Oreochromis niloticus: one gene and its partners. The protein of the gene in region 1 interacts with the protein of each later gene in a biochemical or structural test. Links are inferred from orthologs where the notes say so. Each region holds a gene or a part of one and is shown in the gene's direction. Other genes may lie near its edges.

Region 1 (7,110 bases):
GCTTAATTAGTTTTTACTACAGACGCAACTCTGGTTAGAGAAGACTGCAGTGCATCACAAGCTCAAAAATTTATTTCACAACAGTAGTTTAGTCAAAGCCTGCTGTGCCCTACCATCCCAGCTGTCACCACCTACGAAGAGGGAAACAGTGAATCCACATAATAAAGTCAAAAAATGAGAAATGAATAAAAGGAATAATAATTTTACAAGCAACAGGAATAAAAAGAGTTGCGGTTAAACTACATAAATCCCCACTGTGTACCTTCCGTCTCCATATCTTGGCCTTTGGGAGCCTCTCCGATATCAATGGTGAACATGACAATCTTGGGTGTCATGGTTGACATCTTGTTGCTGAAGCAGAACTTGTAGGTTCCATCCATGTGCGCTGCCACAGAGTATTTCCCACTGGACTCTCTGTCCCCTTTGTAAATTTGCTTACCGTCAGGTCCTGTTATCTGGAGATAGAAGAATATCTAAATAACTGACATTGCTGCTTGAGTGGAGAATAACATGACGGGCATGATGTGCTTTAGGAAACATATGGCAGAAACTAAGTCAGACTGTCTGCAGAAATAGCTAGATTTTCTGCTTAAAACTAGCGAAAATAAACGAATTCTACAACGTCTACAGCGCATTGACTATTCAATAATCAATAATTAGCTACATAATTAGCAACTTAGAAACAATGCTAATGCTGCACTTCCTATATCATAATGGGTAATTTAATCATCATTATGGAGCAGCTCTTAGCGGGAAACTAAAAAAAGCAACTCTGTAAGATGTAAACGTTTTCCATTCAACTGTATGTTAAATCCTTTACACCTGCTTTGCATCCAACTAGTTTTACCTGACGGTACCGGCTAATAGCTAACATTAGCACAGGCCTTGTGTTGCATTGCATTTTATGATTTACAAGTACATTCTGCCTCGCGTTAGGTGACTCTTTTGCTATCCGAATGAAACATCTCACCTCGACGTCGATGTCCAGGAAGCCTCCTTCGGCCACTTCAAACATGAGGCCCATCTTGGTACCGGAGTTGACCCGCTCGTAGAAGCACTCCTCGGCATGGGCGTCTATGCTAACGAAGTAGCCAGAAGCAGTGGCAGACAGGACGGCCAGCAAGACAACTAGCTCCGACAAGGTAAACATGTTTCCGTGGTTGTATGGAGAGCGTAAACGTAAAGCTGACGGTATAAAAATTTTCTATGCTAATGTATATCCAGTTTGTGTGAGTGGACTGTTGCAGGAGACGAGCCGCAACAAGCTCGGCTACTCTGTGCTGCTCTCAGACTGCCACGTACGGGCTTACTGCACGGGTACCTGCGAGGGCCAAACCTCCGAGAATACATGACACACACTGAAAAGGAAGTGAAAGACAACTCTTCGTTTTCTCATTTGTTATTGGAAGAAGTCCCTTAAGTCCATGTAAGTTATATCTGCTTGCCAAAGTCAACCCCGTAAAGGGTCTTTATGTGCAACACGAATAATTAAAGAGTCGTGTTCTTTAGTTTACTATAATTTGTGTTTTTACTCTGAATGTAAATACTTTTTTCTGATTTATAAAAAAAATCAAATCAAACGAACATAAGTGAAAATGCACTAATTTAATGAGTTAAATACATATATTTATACAAATATATAATAAGAATATAATAAGAAAATATCCAAAACAACAGCACTAAGTCATCTAAGTAATAGTACACGATTATGAAAACATTTCATATCAGTTGATAGCATTTTGCAGTAACGACAATAATAATGATAATAATAATTTATTAATGTTGCATAGCAGTTCAAAACTCTACTTGAAGATAATACTACTTGAAGACACAGTGCATCACTGTAAGACTTTTTTGTAGTGTGGCATGAATGACAGACTTGAATACTTTTTTGTTAGATTTGTAACTTTGTAATATTTTGTATTATTTAATTCAGTTTAGTAAGTTACTGTTCTTACTGTCTTGGAGCAACAGTGACCAAATAATTTCCCCTCAGCTTAATAAAGTATTTTGATTCTTCTCCATTCCTCAGGTTTCCTGTCACTTTACAACATTGTATTAAACAGTTTGAACCAAAAGACTGTTTAACACAACCTGGAACACGGCTCTCCTAGACATCTCCATGCCTTCACAGGTATGTCATCTGGATAAACTCGGTTTGCACTCTTCATCCTCTTCATAGCTGCCCTCACTTCCTCCTTATTAATCCTCCACTCATTGTGATTCACTAACTTTTCTCCATCTGTTTTCCTGTCTCCTTCATTTTCTGGAATTATCAGCAGCTCAAAGTGCTCCTTCCGTCATCTTAACACACTCTCTTCTATTGTTAGTACATTTTCATCTCTATGCTTAACCACTCTAACCTGCAGCATATACTTTCCATTTCAATTTCTCTGTCTAGCCAATCAGCAAAAGTCCTTTTCTCCTTCCTTAGTTTCTTACTTACAACACACTACAATCCTTCTCATTTGCCACCTCTCTCGTTGTTGTATTCCTAGCCGTCCCGTACTCCTATCTATTTTCTTCATCTCCTAAATATGTCACTCCTTCTTTACTAACCTGTTTCATTTCATTTCCTATAGTTTCATGTACTTCATCATTTCACCACCAGGTCTGCTTTACCCGGTTGTGTCCAGAGGATCCACCAAACACCAGTGTCAGCACTAAAGCTGTACTTTCCCAGTCATCGGGTAACTCTTTCTTTCCACCCAGAGTATGCCTCAACTTCTTCCTGAACTCTGTGCAACATTCTTCTTTCTTCAACTTCTTTCACTTACTCCTTGCCTCTGCCTTCACTTGCTTCCTCTTCTTAATGTACAAAGGCATCCTACAGACAACCATCTGATGCTGCTTAATGACATTCTCCTCTGACACCACCTTCCAGTTTCCTATATCTTTCAGATTGCACATTTTGCATAAGATGTGGTCCCTCTGTGTGCACCTTCCTCATCTCTTATATGTCACCCTGTGTTCTTCCCTCTTCTTAAAGTACATGTTTAGTACAGACATTTCCATCCTTTTTGCAGAATGTACTATTATCTGTCCCTCTGCATTTCTCTAACACCTTACCTACTTAATACCTCTGTTCCCTTTGTCTACATGTCCATAGAATTTTGCACCAATCACAATAATGTCCCCCCTGGGGACATTATTGCTTCATCTGACTTACTCAACTTACTCCAGAATTTGTCTTTCTCTTCTAATTGACATCCAGCCTGTGTGGCATGCGCACTGACAACATTCAACATCGACCATTCGATTTCCAGCTTCGGACTCATGTTCCTGCCTGACACTTTTCACCTCCACAACACTGTTCACATACTCTTCCTTACCCCTACTCCACTCCTGTTTCTATCTACACCATGGTAGAGCAGCTTGAATCCCCCTCCAATACTCCTGGCCTTGCTTCCCTTCCATCTGGTCTCCTGCATAAACAATATATCTACCACAGTATATTTATACTGCCAACTTTAACCCCCAGACTTCTGTCTTTCCTACTCTCTCATTGCCTCCTAACACACCCTCCTCCTCTTCTTTTCCTTTGTCTTTGGCCAATATTAGCAGTTTACACCAGCACCCTGTTTGCCAGGTTGAAATCTCATCCATCATGACTTGAATGTTGGCCAAGGTTTTAATAGGTTTCTCCAAATATTTATATTTGTTGGATCAAATATAAATAAAATGATTTAAAAGGAAGATGCATGTTCACCAGTCTTATGGATGTACTATTTTGGGGAAAAGAGTACAATGCTTCAGTGATAAAGTTACTTACATCACCACTTGACTTTCTCCTAAGGTAGTCTCTGTTTTATGTGAAATATTTTATATGTTTTTGCTTACAAAGCAAATGACAAATATTGGATAGCTCAAAGATTGCATGTAAAATGTTCAAACAGAAAAAATTTGTTAATGTATACTAATTTTATCTGTATTTATTTTTACGCGTTTCTAATAACCCGAGTCGCCACAACAAAACATTACGAAAGTTTCATAATATCATTTTAAAAATGGTTGCGCATCTAATTACGTCACAAATAACATATGAAATGTAATTTATCTCCCGTTAGGGCTTAGAGCTGCGATTAAGTTTCGCTTTGCCGTGAGCACAGACAGTCAACGAACTGTTCGAGAAGCCTTCGCAGACGTTCTTCGTCGTTTGCCGCTTTCGCCGCTGTATCGTAAAAAAACCTTTTAACGAGCATGCGCTGAGTGAAAGTGATCTGGCTCTTTAATTTATCTGACGCCGTTTACCGGACGGACCGAGATCTGTAGCTTTTATTTAAGCGGGTTAAAGCGACCACGAGAAACGGCCGCCGAGGGTGAAAAAATCCATTACACCCTCTGTTTTGTCGCAGGTTTGGTGACGTCCAATAATCGACTTGCTGTGAAGTCTCCGGGGCCGAGGCCTAGAGACATTTTTTTGTAACGGGCGCTATCAAAAAAATTTGTGTCGATGCTTAACTAGATTTAGGTGCCCGTTTTGACCGGATGTGAACCAATGAAGCACTTTATACTGTAACTGAAGCTTTAACGGTGGGAAACGTTAGCCAGCTAATTAAAGCTACTGCTAACTGCCAGCGAGGAAGTGAGGAACGAAAAAAATGACATCTCGGAGGTAAGCGGGGGCTGTCTGGAAAACAATGTCTGCTGATAATGCTAGCTGAGTCTGCTAACTTTAAGTGAACTCAGCTGTTTGGATCTTGGTATGTCGGTAGACGGTCAATGAGAGTTCCGACGTTTCTGGAAATAAACAGAAATAGGTGGTGTAGGGCTGCTTCATTTAGCGTTACACCGGCAACTTAAAGCAGTCTTAAATTGTTAAGTAAACAGCGCTGTAACATTGGTACAGAACATACAAAGCTAAGCTGTCCACAAACTGTAGTTACTAATAGGTACAGTTAAAGTTAACTAACCCTGCTACAGCTGCTGTTAACAGATGCATCTTACTGGATTGATTTGTTATGCTTTGAGCTGCTGTCCAAGTCAAACCAGCTGTATTTACAAATAACTGAACATAAGACACCCCATATTGATACAAAAATTAACGAGTCATTTTAACGAGAAAACGGGAAAACAGCAGGAGTGCATCAGAAAAACGGAAATGAAGTGCTTTCACGTTATAGATATGTGCAGAGTAGGCAGAAGTCATAGCAGTTTCAACATTTTAAGTAAATTAAATTCCTTAGATTATAAATGTAACGCGTTAAAAAGTCATCGTTAGCGAGTGGAATAAAGATATTTCACATAGATGGTGCACAGACCACAGACTTCTTGTACAGACGAGAGGGAAAAGATGAAGATCATATTCACAGGGAGGCAGAGGCAGGAGATGACCACAATGGACGCATGAGTGAAACAGGCAGGCAGTCTTTTCGGGGGAGTGCCGGGTGGCAACTTGTAGAAAGAGCGCAGTCAGCCTCCGAATGTCTTTACTGGAATATACAGAGTTGGATAGAGAGGAAGTGAAGAAAGACAAAGACAGTGTGGCTCTTTTATACCTTTGGCTCCAAATCAGTCTCGATGTCAGCAAGCACCCTGTGCAATAATACCAGAAACATTGTAAGAGAGAGACAAGACTCTCAAAGGAATCGTTTATTAAAATCTAGGCAAGACATTTTTAACAGCAAGGATGGTGATAGGAATAACTTCCCCAGTGGCCTTTTGAAATCCTCATTATTGTGTAAGTCATTGACACATTTAAGCTGTTTTAATCAGATTCAGCTTTCATGTCCAGGTGACCATTCAAATTAAACTTGAGTATTACTTCAAAATGCCCAGATAAGTGACTGGAGATGTAACTACAAACTTTTAGAAGAACTTTGATAATACTTTCTCTGAATAGTGGATTGAAAATTGCAAATAATCAAGTTTTAAGCAGTTAATTCATAATTTTGGGCACCTCTTAGTACTATAACTGACCATCAACTCTGAGTTTATTATGTCATGTTGTTGTTGTGCAATGTATGGATTTTTGGCAAAAAGTTCACACAATGCACTTTATAATGAGTAAAAATTAAATGCATGTACTTAACAGTAAGTCTAAATTGTTATTTTACTTGTCCTCTTTCAGGTGGTTTCACCCCAACATCACAGGTGTGGAGGCTGAAAACCTTCTGCTGACTCGTGGAGTGGACGGGAGCTTTTTAGCCAGACCCAGTAAAAGCAATCCAGGAGACTTCACGCTCTCAGTACGGTAAGTGAAATTACACACGTTTGTACAAAGCACCATACTCCAGAGGTGCATCCCTAGTGTACTGTGGGGATTGTGAAAACTAAACAGTGTTACTGGAGCAAACATTTGGACATTGAATAATCTGTCTCCTGATCCAATGTTTTTTTTTCTTTTCTTTCAATGATCTGGATGCCTTTCTTTGACTTTACAGCAGAAGAATTGTTTTGCATTACCCTTTTACAAGTTAGATTAAAATAAAAATAAAACAGTACATTCTTGCTCATGAAACAAGTAAGGAAACAAGGAACATACAAAGTTGACTGTCAGAGTCAACTTTACAGAGGTTTGCTTTGATATTTTGGCTATCCCTGTGGTGTGCATAAGAGTTTTAAAAACCATTACAATACAGGAAGCAATGGATGAACTGTGATTGTTCCGCTGTTTTAATAAAATCTGCTTTTGCACTTTATAAAAATTTTTTACAAATCAACTTGACAAAGACTGAGTTTCTGTTAAGGTGATCAAAGTAAATTTTGAATGGTTGGACTTTTCAGTATTGCCAGCCTTAGGTTTTTCCATTTTTTTATTTTTTTTATTTTTTTTTGGGCTTGGTCACAGATGCTGAAGGCCTTTAAACAGACAGGAGTTATACAGCATTATCCCTTCAGCTGGAAGAGAAAATATAAATGGATTGAATGAGCAACAAATCATTTAATTTCACTTTAAAAAATGAGATAATATATGTAAACTCCAAATTTTGCAAGAGTGATATTTTTTACTGGATTCTCCTATTTTATGATCTGCATAAAGCAACATTTAAGACACACTTTTTGTAGTCCATCTTCAGGACAGTGTAGTTTCACCACAGCAGTGTAAGTGAATATTAAAATGATCCTACCTACTTTGCTTTCAAGTAGAACCACACCTCATTAAGTTGG
Region 2 (7,079 bases), on another chromosome or scaffold:
GCACTAATGGTAAATGGCTTGTATTTGTATATCGCTTTACTTAGTCCCTATGGACCCCAAAGCACTTTACACTACATTCAGTCATCCACCCATTCACACACACATTCACACTCTGGTGATGGCAAGCTACATTGTAGCCACAGCTGCCCTGGGGCGCGCTAACAGAGGCGAGGCTGCCGGACACTGGCGCCAACGGGCCCTCTGACCACCACCAGTAGGCAACGGGTGAAGTGCCTTGCCCAAGGACAAAATGACCGAGACTGTCAGAGGCTGGGGCTTGAACCGGCAACCTTCCGATAACAGACGAACTGCCAACTCTTGAGCCACGATCGATGTTACAAAGGCAGATTACAATGTAAACACTGTCTCCAGGTGGAAAACAGGAGGAGTGATGCACCTCCTGTTGTCAGGCCTGCAGGGTTCATCCCTGTGGTGTTCTCTGTCTTGCGGCGGACAAACAAATTTTATTTATTTATTTATTTATTTATTTTTACTGGAACAAATAATTTGTGGGGATCTTATTGTGACACCCGATTGTTCTCTCGTTTTTGTTATAGAGGTGTTTTTAAATGGTTATATGGAAAAAAAAATGCATTGGCTGCGTTTTTAGATAAATAGTTTATAACTTTATTGTTTACAAAATTTGTTCATAAGTATTCAAAATTTACAATTTGCATTTCAGGTTATGAAAATAATTTACTAAACATGTCTGTGATTTTTATAGTTAAAAAAAAAAACCGTGACAAGGATTTTCTGTTTTTTGTGTGATTTCAAATCAGTTGTGTTAATACAGTATGTCAAAGAAAAAAAAACCTGTAAATTCAGACACGTGAGGTTGAGCTGAAAAGAATGATACCAAGCAAGGCAAAAAATAAAAAATGAAACAATTTGAAGGTGAAGTACAAATATAAAAAGTAGTCAAAAATGTCTAATTTATATTTTGGACCTCAGAGGGCTAACCCAACAAATCATGAAAAATTAGGTTTCAATTTTTGTTCATGACAGTGCAGATTTCTGACATTTTGTGGAAACTTAAGCGTGTAACAATTTGATTATTTCTAACAAAAATCAGTGTGAAACTGATGAACCACCCATGTTGTGTAGCTTTCTGTATTTTAGACTTATTGGTCTACATATTTATTTATTATACAGGCAATACAGTACATAGAATCCTAATTCATATGTTTTTATGTAACTGAAATGTTTAATTATGTGGGCTACAGAAAATAATTAAGTTATAGACTATATTTATATGAAACTTGTATACTTACTATATTTGAATCATTTTAATCGTATGTAACATGTGCATATGTGTTTTTAAAAAGGCTTTGATTTTGTAACACCTTTCTATACCACCCTTATGCCACCCTAAGAAAATTTCTCTAGATCCGCCCCTGGTCAGAAATCCAGAGAGTCAAGTTGAAACACCTGTGTCCCTACAGTCATGACTATAAACATCTTTCTTCACCGTGCAAAAAGCAAACTTTGGAGCAGTGCTTTAGCTAGCAGAAGAACTGTTGACAGTGGTTGATAAAGTAACTTTGGCTTTGTATTCAAGCTTTAATGCGGTTCACATCATTAAGTGTGCATCACGCAGTAATTCACTTAAAGTTTGTTAGTTGGAAAACTGGACACCTGCATGCTTTTTTAAAAATGTTTTGTGTTTGTTTTGATCTTTAGTACTGGTAAAGAGGGGCAGCCCAAAGAGTACTATACCTTGGACTCTATCTTGTTCTTGCTCAACAATGTGCACCTGCCGCATCCATCCTATGTGCGAAGAGCTGCAGTAAGTGCTCTGGAGTTCATATGAATCAGCCCAGAATCTGTCAGTATCAATCCTTCATTGCTTACCAACGTGCTGTTTGAGGACAATCCTGATTCCAGCCCACAATTTGTCATACATGTAGCATCTTGTTAACTTCAAAGGGTTTTGACTTTTATGATTGTGTGTTGTTTATAGACAGAGAACATCCGTGCTGTCAGACGACCTGATCGAAAGGGCTTGCTTACATATCTTAATGGCGAGAGCTGTAAGTAGCACTTGGACGCTGAGGGGGGAGCTTTCTGTGACATCTAGTACACGTGTTGTCATTCCAGGTTTTGGTTCACTGAAGATTTGCTTAAAATGTACTTTTTGTCCACTTGCAGCCACGTCAACGAGCATCGACAGAAGTGCGCCCATAGAAATAGGTCTGCAAAGGCCAACACAAGGTAAAGTAACAGCATTTTTACAATATGATGTGGAGTTTAAAGCTTCATAACTTAATGCTGAAATGTACATTTTGGGATTAATTACTACTTATAACTGCTAGTGCTGATATAAATAATGGCACATACACTGTCCTGTCGCTAATAGTAATATTTTTTCCAAATAATTTTTATTGAATAAGTGAGTTAAAGGAAGGTGGTATGAAGGAATTTGTTTCGTGCAGTGAAATAATGTTTTTTTGTTTCTTTTTTATTGTTTTTTTTTGTTTGTTTGTTTGTTTTTTTTAGGCATCTTCTGAAGCCAAAAAAAACAAGAGTTGAGGTAAATCATGTTACTTCAGATGTCAGATGTGGCTCATATTGTTCTCTGTGTGGTATCATTAGAAATGTGATGCTTCAAACATCCCCAACCCCCCAGTCAGGACATAGAAATTGACAAAGTCGGAATATTTTAACTTTTAGAATTTTCAGCAGTTTGGGCAGTTAAAGATGTTTGATATTATATCACATTTTATCCTGTAATTTGCTAATAATGTGAAAACTGCTTTCACCTCAAGGATGAGGAACGTGTGCGTCTGGCTGCCCGTCTGGAGGACCATAAAGAAGGCAATGTGCAAAGCTGGTGATGTGTGGGCTGACTTACATTGGAAAGTCCATCGAAGAAGACCAGGGTTTGCTGACCATCTCTGGCTTCAACCTTGGAGCTTTCAGTGTCATTCGTAATTTGGCCCAAGATCTCGTCTGATAAGATTTCGGGGACTTTTCCTGAGTAATGTAATGAGTGTAGAATATAAAGGCCAATTCAACATTTATAGCAAGAGGTTGGCAGGTTAAGAGGAACAATGCAAGAGTCACAGTTTTAGGGTGTTTGCAACTGTAGGTTTACTTCAGGGGGGATTACCTGTAGTTTTCAACATGCATCTATGGTATGAGTTAGCAGGTTTGATGTAGAGATGCTTTAAACCTTCATTTCATGTAGCGTTTCTTAGACATACTTAACATCAGTGAAAGAGAAACCTGAAACAAAGCATACAAAGTCAATGGTAAAACTTGGAGTTGCTTTTTATTGTGTTAATTTCACAGATTTCTTAGATCAGAAAAGTTTTTCTTTAAGTATTAACATCTTGGATTCCTTTTACACTTGAATCCAAATTTGCTTTAGAAAAAGTGTCGCCATATTTCTTTTAACGTATAATCTCACAAGAAGAAAACCAAAAACTCAGCTTTAAAACAATAAACTGGGCTTAGTGTCAAACAAATGTTAGAACAACTAAAATTTGTGGCCAAGCTAAAGCAAAGACCGTCAGTTTTAACAACAGACTAATGCCAATGTTTGGGATTTTTTTTTTTTTTTTTTTTTGTGTGAAAATTTTGTGTTTCAGTCTGAATTCTGTGCATCAGAATTTACATTTTACTGTAATAAAGTACTGTAATAAGCTTTACTTATCACGGTGTAATTTAAATTAGTCTTCATAAAAAAACAAACAATAAACTGACCATGTAACTGTGAAGGATGTTTGTCCCAACATGCTGATGTTTTCATTTTTAATTTTAAAGCAACATCCAGTCTTTTTGGTCAACGTATAAAGTATTTATAACATGACTGTTGACACGTTTTGGGAGATGGACATGAGATTTGATAGTTCTCAAGTGTTTCACAACCATTCTCTTGTATCTGTCCTGCTTAACATGTACCTATTCACTGTAGCGGCGATGTAAAGCCCTTCCTAATAAATAACTTGCTGCTCTGGAAATTTGCTTTCATTTTACCGATAATTGCCTGGGTTGTTGGAACTGATACATCACTGTGATCAAAGTCAAGTTTGCAGTTTAAAGCGTCATTCAGATCAGGCATCTTGAAAGGCCGCACGATGTTGATAACTGGGGGCCTTGCAAACACACTACATACATACAAGTGAAGATGGCGGATGTGTTGAGTGTTCTTCGTCAGTATAACATCCAGAAAAAGGAGATTGTTGCTAAAGGAGATGAAGTTATATTTGGGGAGTTCTCCTGGCCGAAGAATGTCAAGACCAACTACATAATCTGGGGGTATGTCAGTGCTAATAAAATCTTCAAAGTGCTTCAACAGGCCTGCAGCTGATGCTCATCTGTGCCTTGTGCTGCTAGTAACGACGGAAGGCTCGCTAGCTACGAAATGCTAACCCAGCTACTTTCCTCGCTGCTTTCCTTAAAAGTTAAAGCACCCTTTAAATTGTTAGTGCAACAGGGAGGTCTCTTCCATACATTATAGAGCCAATTTTACTAGCTTTCATGAAAGCCAATGTATGTCTGTTAAACTTACCTCGCGAGGGGTTCAGCCAAACTTGTAGTATTGTGTAATGCTAATTAATCACGGACGTTAGCTAGCGAGCGAGTTCTTGCACGGAGACAGAGATTCAGAGTCGAGTTGAAACACCTGTTTGTTTGTTTTTGTTTCTCTTTTAGTCTCTACAGTCCTGACTATAAACATCTTTCTTCACCGTGCAAAAAGCAAACTTTGTGCATGTGACGCAGAAATTAAGGTTGCAACTAGCAGTGCTTTAGCTAGCAGGAGAACTGTTGACAGTGGTTGATAAAGTAACTTTGGCTTTATATTCAAGCTTTAATGCGGTTCACATCATTAAGTGTGCATCACGCAGTAATTCACTTAAAGTTTGTTAGTTGGAAAACTGGACACCTGCATGCTTTTTAAAAAATGTTTTGTTTGTTTTGATCTTTAGTACTGGTAAAGAGGGGCAGCCCAAAGAGTACTATACCTTGGACTCTATCTTGTTCTTGCTCAACAATGTGCACCTGCCGCATCCATCCTATGTGCGAAGAGCTGCAGTAAGTGCTCTGGAGTTCATTGCTTACCAACGTGTTGTTTGAGGACACCCCTGATTCCAGCCCACATTTTGTCATGAATGCAGCATCTTGTAAACTTTAAAGAGTTTTGACTTCGATGATTGTGTGTTGTTTATAGACAGAGAACATCCCTGTTGTCAGACGACCTGATCGAAAGGGCTTGCTGTCATATCTTAACGGCGAGAGCTGTAAGTAGCACTTGGACACTGAGGAAGGGGGTGTTCTGTGGCATCTAGTACAGCCTTTGTCATTTTCCAAAATTGTAATGATTTCTTCCAGGTTTTGGTTCACTGAAAATTTGCGTAAAATGTCCCTTTTGTCCACTTGCAGCCACGTCAACGAGCATCGACAGAAGTGCGCCCATAGAAATAGGTCTGCAAAGGGCAACACAAGGTAAAGTAACAGCATTTTTACAATATGATGTGGAGTTTAAAGCTTAATAACTTAATCCTGAAATTTAAATTTCATGAATAATTACTACTTATAACTGCTAGTGCTAATATCAGTAATGCAACATACACTGTCCTTTTTTTTTTTTAACAAAAAAATTGCATAAGTGAAATAAAGGAAGGTGGGATGAAGGATTTTGTTTTGCATAGTGATATAAAGTTTTTTGTTTGATTTTCTTCTTTCATTGTTTTTTTGTTTTTTTTTTATAGTTAAAAGAGCAGCTGATGAGGCATCTTCTGAAGCCAAAAAACCAAGAGTTGAGGTAAATTATGTTACTTCAGATGTCACATGTGGCTCATGTTGTTTTCTGTATGGTGTTACACAGGACACAGAAATTCACAGTTTTCCTATTCTGACACACTTAACATTGAATTTGTTTACATATTCTTACTGTGAGAAATGTGGACCACTCCCTACACCTGAAAATACTACTACTACTAATCATAATGATGATGATGATAATAATAATAATAATAATGATAATGTATTTTTTAAAATAATTCCATAAGAAAAATATTTAAATGAATTAACTTTGAGATTCTAAATAGTGGAAAACGCAGCTCATTAAATATTCTTCAGTGTTTAGTGTAACTGAATATAAGATGGGTAACTGTGTGTCATGCATGCAGGTGACAGAGTCTGAGTATTTTAACTTTTACAGATTTCAGCAGTGTGGGCAGTTAAAGATTTTTGATATTATATCATTTTTTATCCTTCAATTTGCTAATAATGTGAAAACTGCTTTCACCTCAAGGATGAGGAATGTGTGCGTCTGGACAAGGAGCGTCTGGCTGCCCGTCTGGAGGGCCATAAAGAAGGCATCGTGCAGATCGAACAGATCAGGTATGATCTGGTTATGAGCTTTTACTTATTCTGATTACCAGTTCCACCCAACAGATAGTTCAGCTTATCAAAACATTTCTCCCTGTCTTCCAGATCACTGTCTGAGGCCATGTCTGTGGAAAAAATTGCAGCCATTAAAGCCAAGATTATGGCCAAGAAGCGTTCAACTATCAAAACAGATCTCGATGATGACATAACACTGAAGCAGAGAAGCTTTGTGGATGCAGAAGTGGATGTCACCAGGGATATTGTTAGCAGAGAGCGGGTCTGGAGGACTAGGACAACCATTCTCCAGAGCACTGGAAAGGTTAGTGTACACTTTATGCCAGACTGTTTTCTGGAATAATGAAACTTTCCTTCAGAAGCAAGAGCCTTAAAACAAGTGTGTTGTCAACTAGTGCTGTATAAATGAATTGTAATTGACTTGACACTATAATGCCAGATGTATCATATCATGTAACCAGAAACCCCTTTTAACCCTACATGCACCTCCCTAGAAATCTGTCTAAAACTTGGGTCGACGCGGAAACAACTGAATGGCCTGGAAGATAAAAAGGGGTTTCTAGTTACCTTGTGAGTTACAACATAGATTTCCCACAGAAGTCTAAATCATTTGTTAGCCTCTTGAACCCTAAGGCTACGTTCACACTGCAGGTCTTAATGCTCAATTCCGATTTTTTGATCAAATCTGATTTTTTTTGTCTGCTTGTTCACACTACAAATAAAATGCG
Region 3 (7,310 bases), on another chromosome or scaffold:
ACGGTATGTCAAGTTTCTGCATCCATATCACTTACTCCCGCGATGTAAATGTCCACCACAGTGAAAACCAAACTGACAGATGATTGCAATCAGTGAATCAAAATGTACAAAAGGAAAAACAAGATCCTTTAGAATGAATGTTAATCTCAAGGAGAAGTGAATTTGAGCCACAAAGGCAGCACTGTGTGGTATCTGCAGCCAGCTGCTTCTTTAGCTGGTTTGTTCAAAAGTCAGTGCAAGATGAACTCAACAAATGGCATCGTTGGTCTCCTGACTGCTTGTGTTGGGAGTCCTGGTAAACATGTTGATACACACTGTATTACTTGTGGATCCGTACTCCTCGTCACATAAAGCTGTTTGGCGTTTTTTGTTTTGATTTTTTTTTTCTTTTTTTTCTGCAACTTAATTTTTGTCGCTGATCTGAAAATTGCTTTTGTAATCAGCCAACTTGTTTGTCTCAGTAACCCTCCATCAACTACTGAGCTCACTGTTAACCTTTTTCCAGGTTTCTGCTGCCACAAATGATCATGTCCTGATCCAACGTTTCAACTTCAGTAATAAAGGTGAGGATTGGCCCAAAGGACAAAAGGGGCTGGAGCATTGGTCCTTACTTACTAATGTCTGTGGAAATGTGTTTTTGCACAGAGTAAGAACAAGTGCATATGCAAATTGTCTTGTTTCTAACACTGTTTATCTTGTGTAATTAAAATTATTCTGTATCAGCAGGTTGTGCCAAAATGTTGCTGCCACACCTCATATCCCTGTAAGTGTCACCATGTTTCCCACGAGGTGAGGTGGAGGAATGAGGGCGATGGTGCTTGTGACAAACCCTCTATTGTTAAAAGGAGGAAGCAGCAGACTGTCCAACTGAAGACACTGAAATGAATCAAATTCAAGTAAGAAACTCACTGATGCTTGATGTATTCATGCATATCATTTATGCTCAGTAGTATGCTGAGGTCTATCCCGACAGACCTTTCGCTGTAGGGCCATGTCGTTGGAAATGCCTCACAAAGTAAATCTGTTTCGCTTTACCCACACGTTCACTGCCATGAGCGTTGTGAGATACTGATGCAGAACAAGTCTGTCAAATATTACCCAACTACTCCATAGATTTCCTATTCTGCATTTTGCAAAGTCATTGTTTACAAGTCTTATCAGTGGACTGACTGTTTTCATATCACTGGTTAGGGTGGACCACACAGATAAACATGGATAGTAGTAAACAGTATAGTGTGAGTAGCGTGAGGTTATGTGCATATCACGTGCCTGCTTTAACAGTGTTTCCTTTTTAAATATTAATTTTAAAAAATATTAAGTCTCTGAAAATCCCTGAACTCTATAAAACTCACAATATGAGGTTTTCAGCAACATTTGTAAATTTAAAAAGAGAAAGATCTGGAGCAAAGAGGCAGAGCAGTTACTGCGACGGTATGAAGGAATTCTTTCCGAGCATCCAAAACAGCGGCACTTGTTGTTACTGTAATAAACATTAAAACTTTTCCTGTTCAACAAGCTCCAGTATGAGGAAAAGCCAGCTTAATAGCTGCTCGCATGCAAAGTGACAGCAGTGAAAATGAAATGTGCAGGTGAACAATTAACTTTAGACTTGACAGTTAACTGAAGACTGCAGCAAGCAGGCCTGAGTCTAAAGACGGTCTTCATAAAGAGAAAACTGGCTTTTGCACAGAGCATGTAGATGTCCACATGACAGGACACGGTCCAATAATTTAATAAACCCATGTGTTTCAGACTCTGAAGGCTGTCCTGCCTGCATGGAAAGGACTGCAGCTGATCGCTGTAAGTAAAGTGTGTGTGTGTGTGTGTGTGTGTGTGTGTGTGTGTGTGTGTGTGTGTTGCTTTAAAGTGGTCATGAACCAAGGCTGTCAGGATTCTGTGTTCCTGTTTAGCTGTGGACATGACCAAAAAACAAGCCATCCCAGTGGGCTTCTCAAGCAACCAGCTTAGAAGAACCTGTTGGGAACATTTCCTGAGGGGTGTATGAAAAAGCTAAATTCCAGGATTAATGATATGTTGAGCCTTCACTTTCAGGAAGGTGACTCTCAATCACTTTAATTCAATAAAAATGTATTTATATAAGGCCAGTTCACAATAAAGGTGCTTTTATTGTAAAGACCCTACAATGGTAGAAGCTCCAGCAGATCCAGGCTCAGCGGGAGGTGGTAATCATCTCCTATGACTGGTTTGGGGTGAGGGTAAAGAATCATGATGCTGTAGCTATAACGACGCCTAGCACATTGGGGCAGTAGTTGAGTGTAATGAAAAATAAACTGTAGAGTCGAGCTAAATGGGTGCTGGTGGAAGAGAAGCTGACAACTTCAACATAATTTATGCGCGTCACTGACTTCACTTATTGAAGGTGCTACAGTCATTCTGTATCTGAAATCTGTGTTCTTTTCCTTTCAGGGGCAGATCAGTGATTCCTGAGAGGAGACTGTTCTCCGGGCTGGCGCTGGCTTTGAAGGAAACGTGTTATAACTTTTGCAAATGAGAGATTTAATAAAGGATGTCATGTTAAAGCCAAACCTTGACTTGGCACTTGTGTTTGGACCTTATTTGTTTAAGGTTAAGTCTTTGGCTTGCAGAAACAAGTGTTTTGTTTTGTTGCTGAAAATGAATACTTAGTGGTAATACTTTTTAAAGCTCCTGACTTCATGATGGTTTTGGGACATGACTGCTGGACATCTGAAGGTTGATGTTTACACGTGTTCAGGTCTGACTGTTCCAGAATCTAATGAGGGAGATGTGGGGAATTTTTTTTGCTTTCATTATATCACTAACTATCCTTAAAGAAAAGGATCAAGTTTTTGTTTTTAAAGTCTTGCCTTGTCCTAGATTTAATTCCTGCACTGTCCTATTAAACTTGAGACTAGCACTCATTGACACTGGGTGTTTGATCTTGATGCAGAGGGTGCTGGTATACTGTAGTAGCTTACCTTCTCCACTGGGAAGCAGCAGTACTCCATTAGCTTGCCAGACCGCCCCCTCACACAAAAAGTAGGTTGAAGTTCACGGAGCTCAGAATGGCCAGAATGGCTTCGTGCAGGAACAAGACACCGTATCGACATTCCTAAGAAAGCTGCTGTGAACTGGGAGCTCTCAAATACTAGGTTTAACCTAGAAATGGCTAGATTTCTCCAGGGCCTCTCATGAAGGTGTTGGGATAGGCTATTTTAACATCTTCTAGACTAGTGCTGTCAAACATGAGGCCTCGGGGCCAGGAAAACTCCAATCCAGCCTGCTTGGCTAGGTTGGGGTTTTTCTGAGGCCATAAATTTTCTTTATTCTACACTTATTTTCACAAGTTTTACAGTTTTTCCTTCTCATGAAAACCTCCCACGTGTCCACTGACAGTACACCAAAGTAACTACATTTTGTTATTTTTGCACATGACTAATTACAGGTTAAGTTCAAAGAGTCATGCTGACCGATTTCTTTCTTTTACTACAGCAGGAATTCTTTACTATGTAGAAAACCTGAGAAATGTTGAACCTGCTGCTCGTTGTTTTATGTTAAGAGATCTTATTGATTACACGTGTAGTTGAACTTTTGGCACTGACTGAAATTAGTTTGACTCATCCATGTAAGGTCAGAGTGGGCTGTATGTCGCCCACTATATAAAATGAGCTTGACATCCCTGTTTTAGACAAAGACTCATCCCTGCAGTCAGTATTATACTTCCCTTTTTAAATGCTTATATTGTATAAAACACTTCCTTATTTTCCTGAAGCTCGCATAAAGGATATCCATCCATTTTTTAGCACTCTGTTTAGAGTGTTGACCTCGCCACCTTGAGCATTCGATTCATTCTTTAAAACAGCTACTGGACAAAAAAGGCTATAGAAAAATTGAAAATGTTAAAGAATTAAATATTTCAATATAATTATAATTTCATGTGCCTTATAGATTATAATCACTCACAAAAACAAAATACATGTGTTCCGTTTATTCTACTTTATCAAAGTATTTGGTGATACTGTGGGCTTTCAGGTTTCCCCTACATGTGATACTGAACTGACTCATTGTCAGGCCATGATTGCACGCGTCTGAACGTGTTTACTATAAATGCAATGTTCTCTCTGTGTTCTTTCAGTTTCCTGTGCAGGCATCTGCTAAGCACGCTGTACATTCTTCCAGCCACGCGGTGTTCACGCGTTGCTTCATTGCGCTGATTGGGCAGGGCTGACACAAACAAAGCTTTCTCCACCAATCAGAGCAGTGTGCACGCACTGAGCCATGCTGTTCATTCTGCCTCTTCGTGCCCAGCTCATAAAAGCAGCCTCCTCCCTTTGTTTACAGCAAAGTGAATTGGTCGCTCGACGTGTATGGATTACCGATAGTTTCCAAGGGATTTGTTTGTGAAGTTTAACGTTTCAGCTCTTTTTGTCCATTTTCGAGATTGCCAATCATGGTGGCGATGACGAAGAAAGTGAAAATCTTTCAGATAATCTTTTCCGATCCCAGTAAGACTTTTTACTGCGGCGGAGACACGGTGTCTGGCCGTGTCGAAGTGGAAGTCAGCGAAATGATGCGGGTGTCCGCGCTGAAGCTTCTGGGTCTGGGCTGCGCCAAGGTGGAGTACGCTAAAGGCAAGCAGCGGTGCCGACAGGAGGCCGAGTACCTCAGATATGAAGCGGTCCTGCGGCTGCAAGACCAGCCCACAGGTACGGGAATGACCTTTATGCTGGATATCCTGGAATGCGTGTTAGACATTTACCGGCTTAAAACATGTTTGTGGGTGTTGTAATAATTGTTAGGGCAGCAGTGAAACCTGCTGTACATGAATAATGCAGTAAAGGGTTTTACTTTCTTTTCCAGACTCTGACGGCTCCGTGGTGTTGAGACCTGGCAACAAGTACGAGTACACGTTTGGATTCGAGCTCCCTCAGCAAGGGTGAGGATGCGCTATGTGACGCATGATTTTCCATTTATCTAAAGAGATGCAGTGTGCACCTCTTCACTGACTTACAAGTGATGGAGCAATAACGGTTCTTACAGGCAACTGGTGTCGTCATACAAGGGGAAGTTTGGCTACGTTCAGTACTGTGTCAAAGCCCTGATGGAGAGGCCGCAGCAGCCCGTGCTGGAGTGCAAGAAATGTTTCGAGGTGGAGGAGCCACTGGATGTCAACACCCCAGACCTGCTGGTGAGTTCACTAATGCCAAAACATAGTCAGTGTTTTTGTCATTGAAGCTTGGGACTGCATAACCAAACACTGTCTTTCTGCTGCTCTTCAGTCTCCAGCAGGTGGCATGAAGGAGAAGAAAGTCACCTGCATGTTCATCCCTGACGGTCAGGTGTCGTTGAATGCAAAAATTGACCGGCGTGGATTCTGTGAAGGCGAAGAGATTTGCATCAATGCAAAGTTTGAGAACACCTGCTCCCGCATTGTTGTGCCCAAGGCTGCCATCATAGCCAAACACACCTACCAGGCAAACGGCCGCACCAAGATCCTACGCCAGAAGCTGTCCTCGGTGCGTGGTAACCACATCATCTCTGGGATGTGCGACGCCTGGCAGGGAAAAACTATCAGGGTACCGAAGATCAAACCATCCATGCTGGGCTGCAACATCATCCGCGTGGAGTACGCTCTGATGGTGAGCCTTCAGTTCTTGAAAGTTTTGGTGTTTATCTCGTAAACATTGGTGTTAATAACGTTGTTTTTCTACATCATAGATTTACGTACACATTCCTGGTAGTGATAAGCTGATCCTGGAGTTGCCTTTGGTCATTGGGACTGCCGGTCTGGGCAGCCGCAGCAACAGTGTGAGCAGCCAGGACAGTTCAGCCAGCACTGCCTCCCAGAGCTGGGTGTCTCTCAGGATGCCTTCTGAACCTCCCAGCTACTGCGACGTGACGCGGGACTGCCGCCTAGACCAGCCTCTCACACCTCTCCTTGATGACTTTGACGGCGATGAGAGTCCCATCTTCATGAACGCACCAGCCTTCCAGTACCCAGCGCCTCCAGCATACAGTGAGGTAAGGATCTCTGGTAACTTAAAAGTGTCCTGTTAATAAGAAGTTGTGTTCCTTGAGATAACTAAAAGGAATTATGTGCTTTTTCAGGCAGAGGAGGAGTTCAACGGCAATGCTCGCATGCTGCCGGTCTGCTGAAGTCTACCAGTGGGAACCGTGGAACTGTGGTCCACCTGTTAAGGACCAAACTTGAAAACAGGCAGAAGGTCTAAACTCCAGAGGAGGTTGGATGGAGAAGTAAAGGCACGAATGTGGAGGTGGACAGAAATGTTGGTCGTTTGCTACATCAGCTGCCTTCAACCTGCTTCATCGCTTATGAGTCTTCCTGCTCGTGCTCTTCAGACCAGAGATGTTGAGGCCAGATGGCACAGTGATATGCTGCATTTCTGAATAAGCTGCCCTTTCCAGAGACTGCCAGAGTCTCACTCTCCATTTACAGCCACTATGACTTTGTTACTGGTCCAAGCACTGGTCTGCTTTGGCACCGTCGCTTTTTCTCATTCCACTCCAAGCCTGTATTTTTACAGGACTACACAAAAGGAAACCTCCTTTTACCAGTCCACTCAGTTTGCATCGCTGTTACGAATTTGTTGGGAACACTGTTGCTTTTGAGAATTACAGCATGTAAATTTCTTCCTTAAATGTCAGTAGTATCCTTTATTCCTGTATTGTTGCACTTTTTGATCGCTTTTGACTCTACTACTGCCTAGAAGACTCTGTTCAGTTGAACAATGTTTTTGATGTGGAGATATGCAGCTTCCAAATCACAGCTTGGTGGCTGGCGCTAATTACTGTGAGTGCCGCCCATACCACACGCTCTCTATGGAACGCACTTTATCTGAGGTGAATCCTTGTATCTGATCTGCAGTTGTCCCAGACAACATTTCATTTAAGAGTTCCACTTTTGTGAATTCACAACTTCTGTTCTTTCAGGGCGCAGGGAAATCACTGTTAATGACTGATTTGTGAGAAAATATGTTTGTAATACGCTCTTGATATGTGCAGATTTTTTTATTTTGTATGAAACCCTATGGGTTCTTTTTTTTATTAAAAACTATCCACTCACTTGTCTCTTTTTTTTTTTTCTTCTTCTTTTTCTGGTTCTCAGCTAGAAATTTTTAATCGATGCAGGTTTTTGTTCAGCTTGCACAAACTCTTTGCCCATTGAGCCTATGGAGAGGTCTTTAATCGTGTATGCAGAGTTCTATCTGCCCATTTCTGTGAGGTCGGGGCGTTTTCCCTGAGTAGATGACAACAAAGAGAAAGATTAATACAATAAAAGTGTTCAGGCCACTGAGCGTTTAGGTCAAAGA

Evidence for each region.
Region 2: of the proteins of ptpn11a (region 1) and cdc73, one has a biochemical effect on the other in vitro, tested with the Homo sapiens proteins (2 studies listed by BioGRID and IntAct). The link is inferred for Oreochromis niloticus from reciprocal best matches to the Homo sapiens genes PTPN11 and CDC73.
Region 3: the proteins of ptpn11a (region 1) and txnipa are reported together in a solved structure, tested with the Homo sapiens proteins (2 studies listed by BioGRID, with this or other methods). The link is inferred for Oreochromis niloticus from reciprocal best matches to the Homo sapiens genes PTPN11 and TXNIP.

Annotation. Positions count from the first base shown.
Region 1 is NC_031972.2:11,313,303-11,320,412, reverse strand, and holds the start of ptpn11a (tyrosine-protein phosphatase non-receptor type 11), read left to right. Parts: upstream 1-4,104; 5' UTR 4,105-4,601; coding exon 4,602-4,615; intron 4,616-6,070; coding exon 6,071-6,193; intron 6,194-7,110. Other genes in the region: tmed2 (transmembrane emp24 domain-containing protein 2), read right to left, coding at 263-455, 971-1,150. UniProt on the Homo sapiens protein: Acts downstream of various receptor and cytoplasmic protein tyrosine kinases to participate in the signal transduction from the cell surface to the nucleus. Positively regulates MAPK signal transduction pathway. Dephosphorylates GAB1, ARHGAP35 and EGFR.
Region 2 is NC_031982.2:9,749,358-9,756,436, forward strand, and holds the start of cdc73 (parafibromin), read left to right. Parts: upstream 1-4,071; 5' UTR 4,072-4,129; coding exon 4,130-4,260; intron 4,261-4,931; coding exon 4,932-5,037; intron 5,038-5,173; coding exon 5,174-5,243; intron 5,244-5,385; coding exon 5,386-5,448; intron 5,449-5,714; coding exon 5,715-5,767; intron 5,768-6,259; coding exon 6,260-6,348; intron 6,349-6,441; coding exon 6,442-6,655; intron 6,656-7,079. Other genes in the region: parafibromin, read left to right, coding at 1,681-1,786, 1,961-2,030, 2,149-2,211, 2,497-2,507.
Region 3 is NC_031985.2:35,527,595-35,534,904, reverse strand, and holds txnipa (thioredoxin interacting protein a), read left to right. Parts: upstream 1-4,302; 5' UTR 4,303-4,429; coding exon 4,430-4,685; intron 4,686-4,839; coding exon 4,840-4,915; intron 4,916-5,019; coding exon 5,020-5,167; intron 5,168-5,258; coding exon 5,259-5,618; intron 5,619-5,697; coding exon 5,698-6,000; intron 6,001-6,087; coding exon 6,088-6,135; 3' UTR 6,136-7,062; downstream 7,063-7,310. UniProt on the Homo sapiens protein: May act as an oxidative stress mediator by inhibiting thioredoxin activity or by limiting its bioavailability.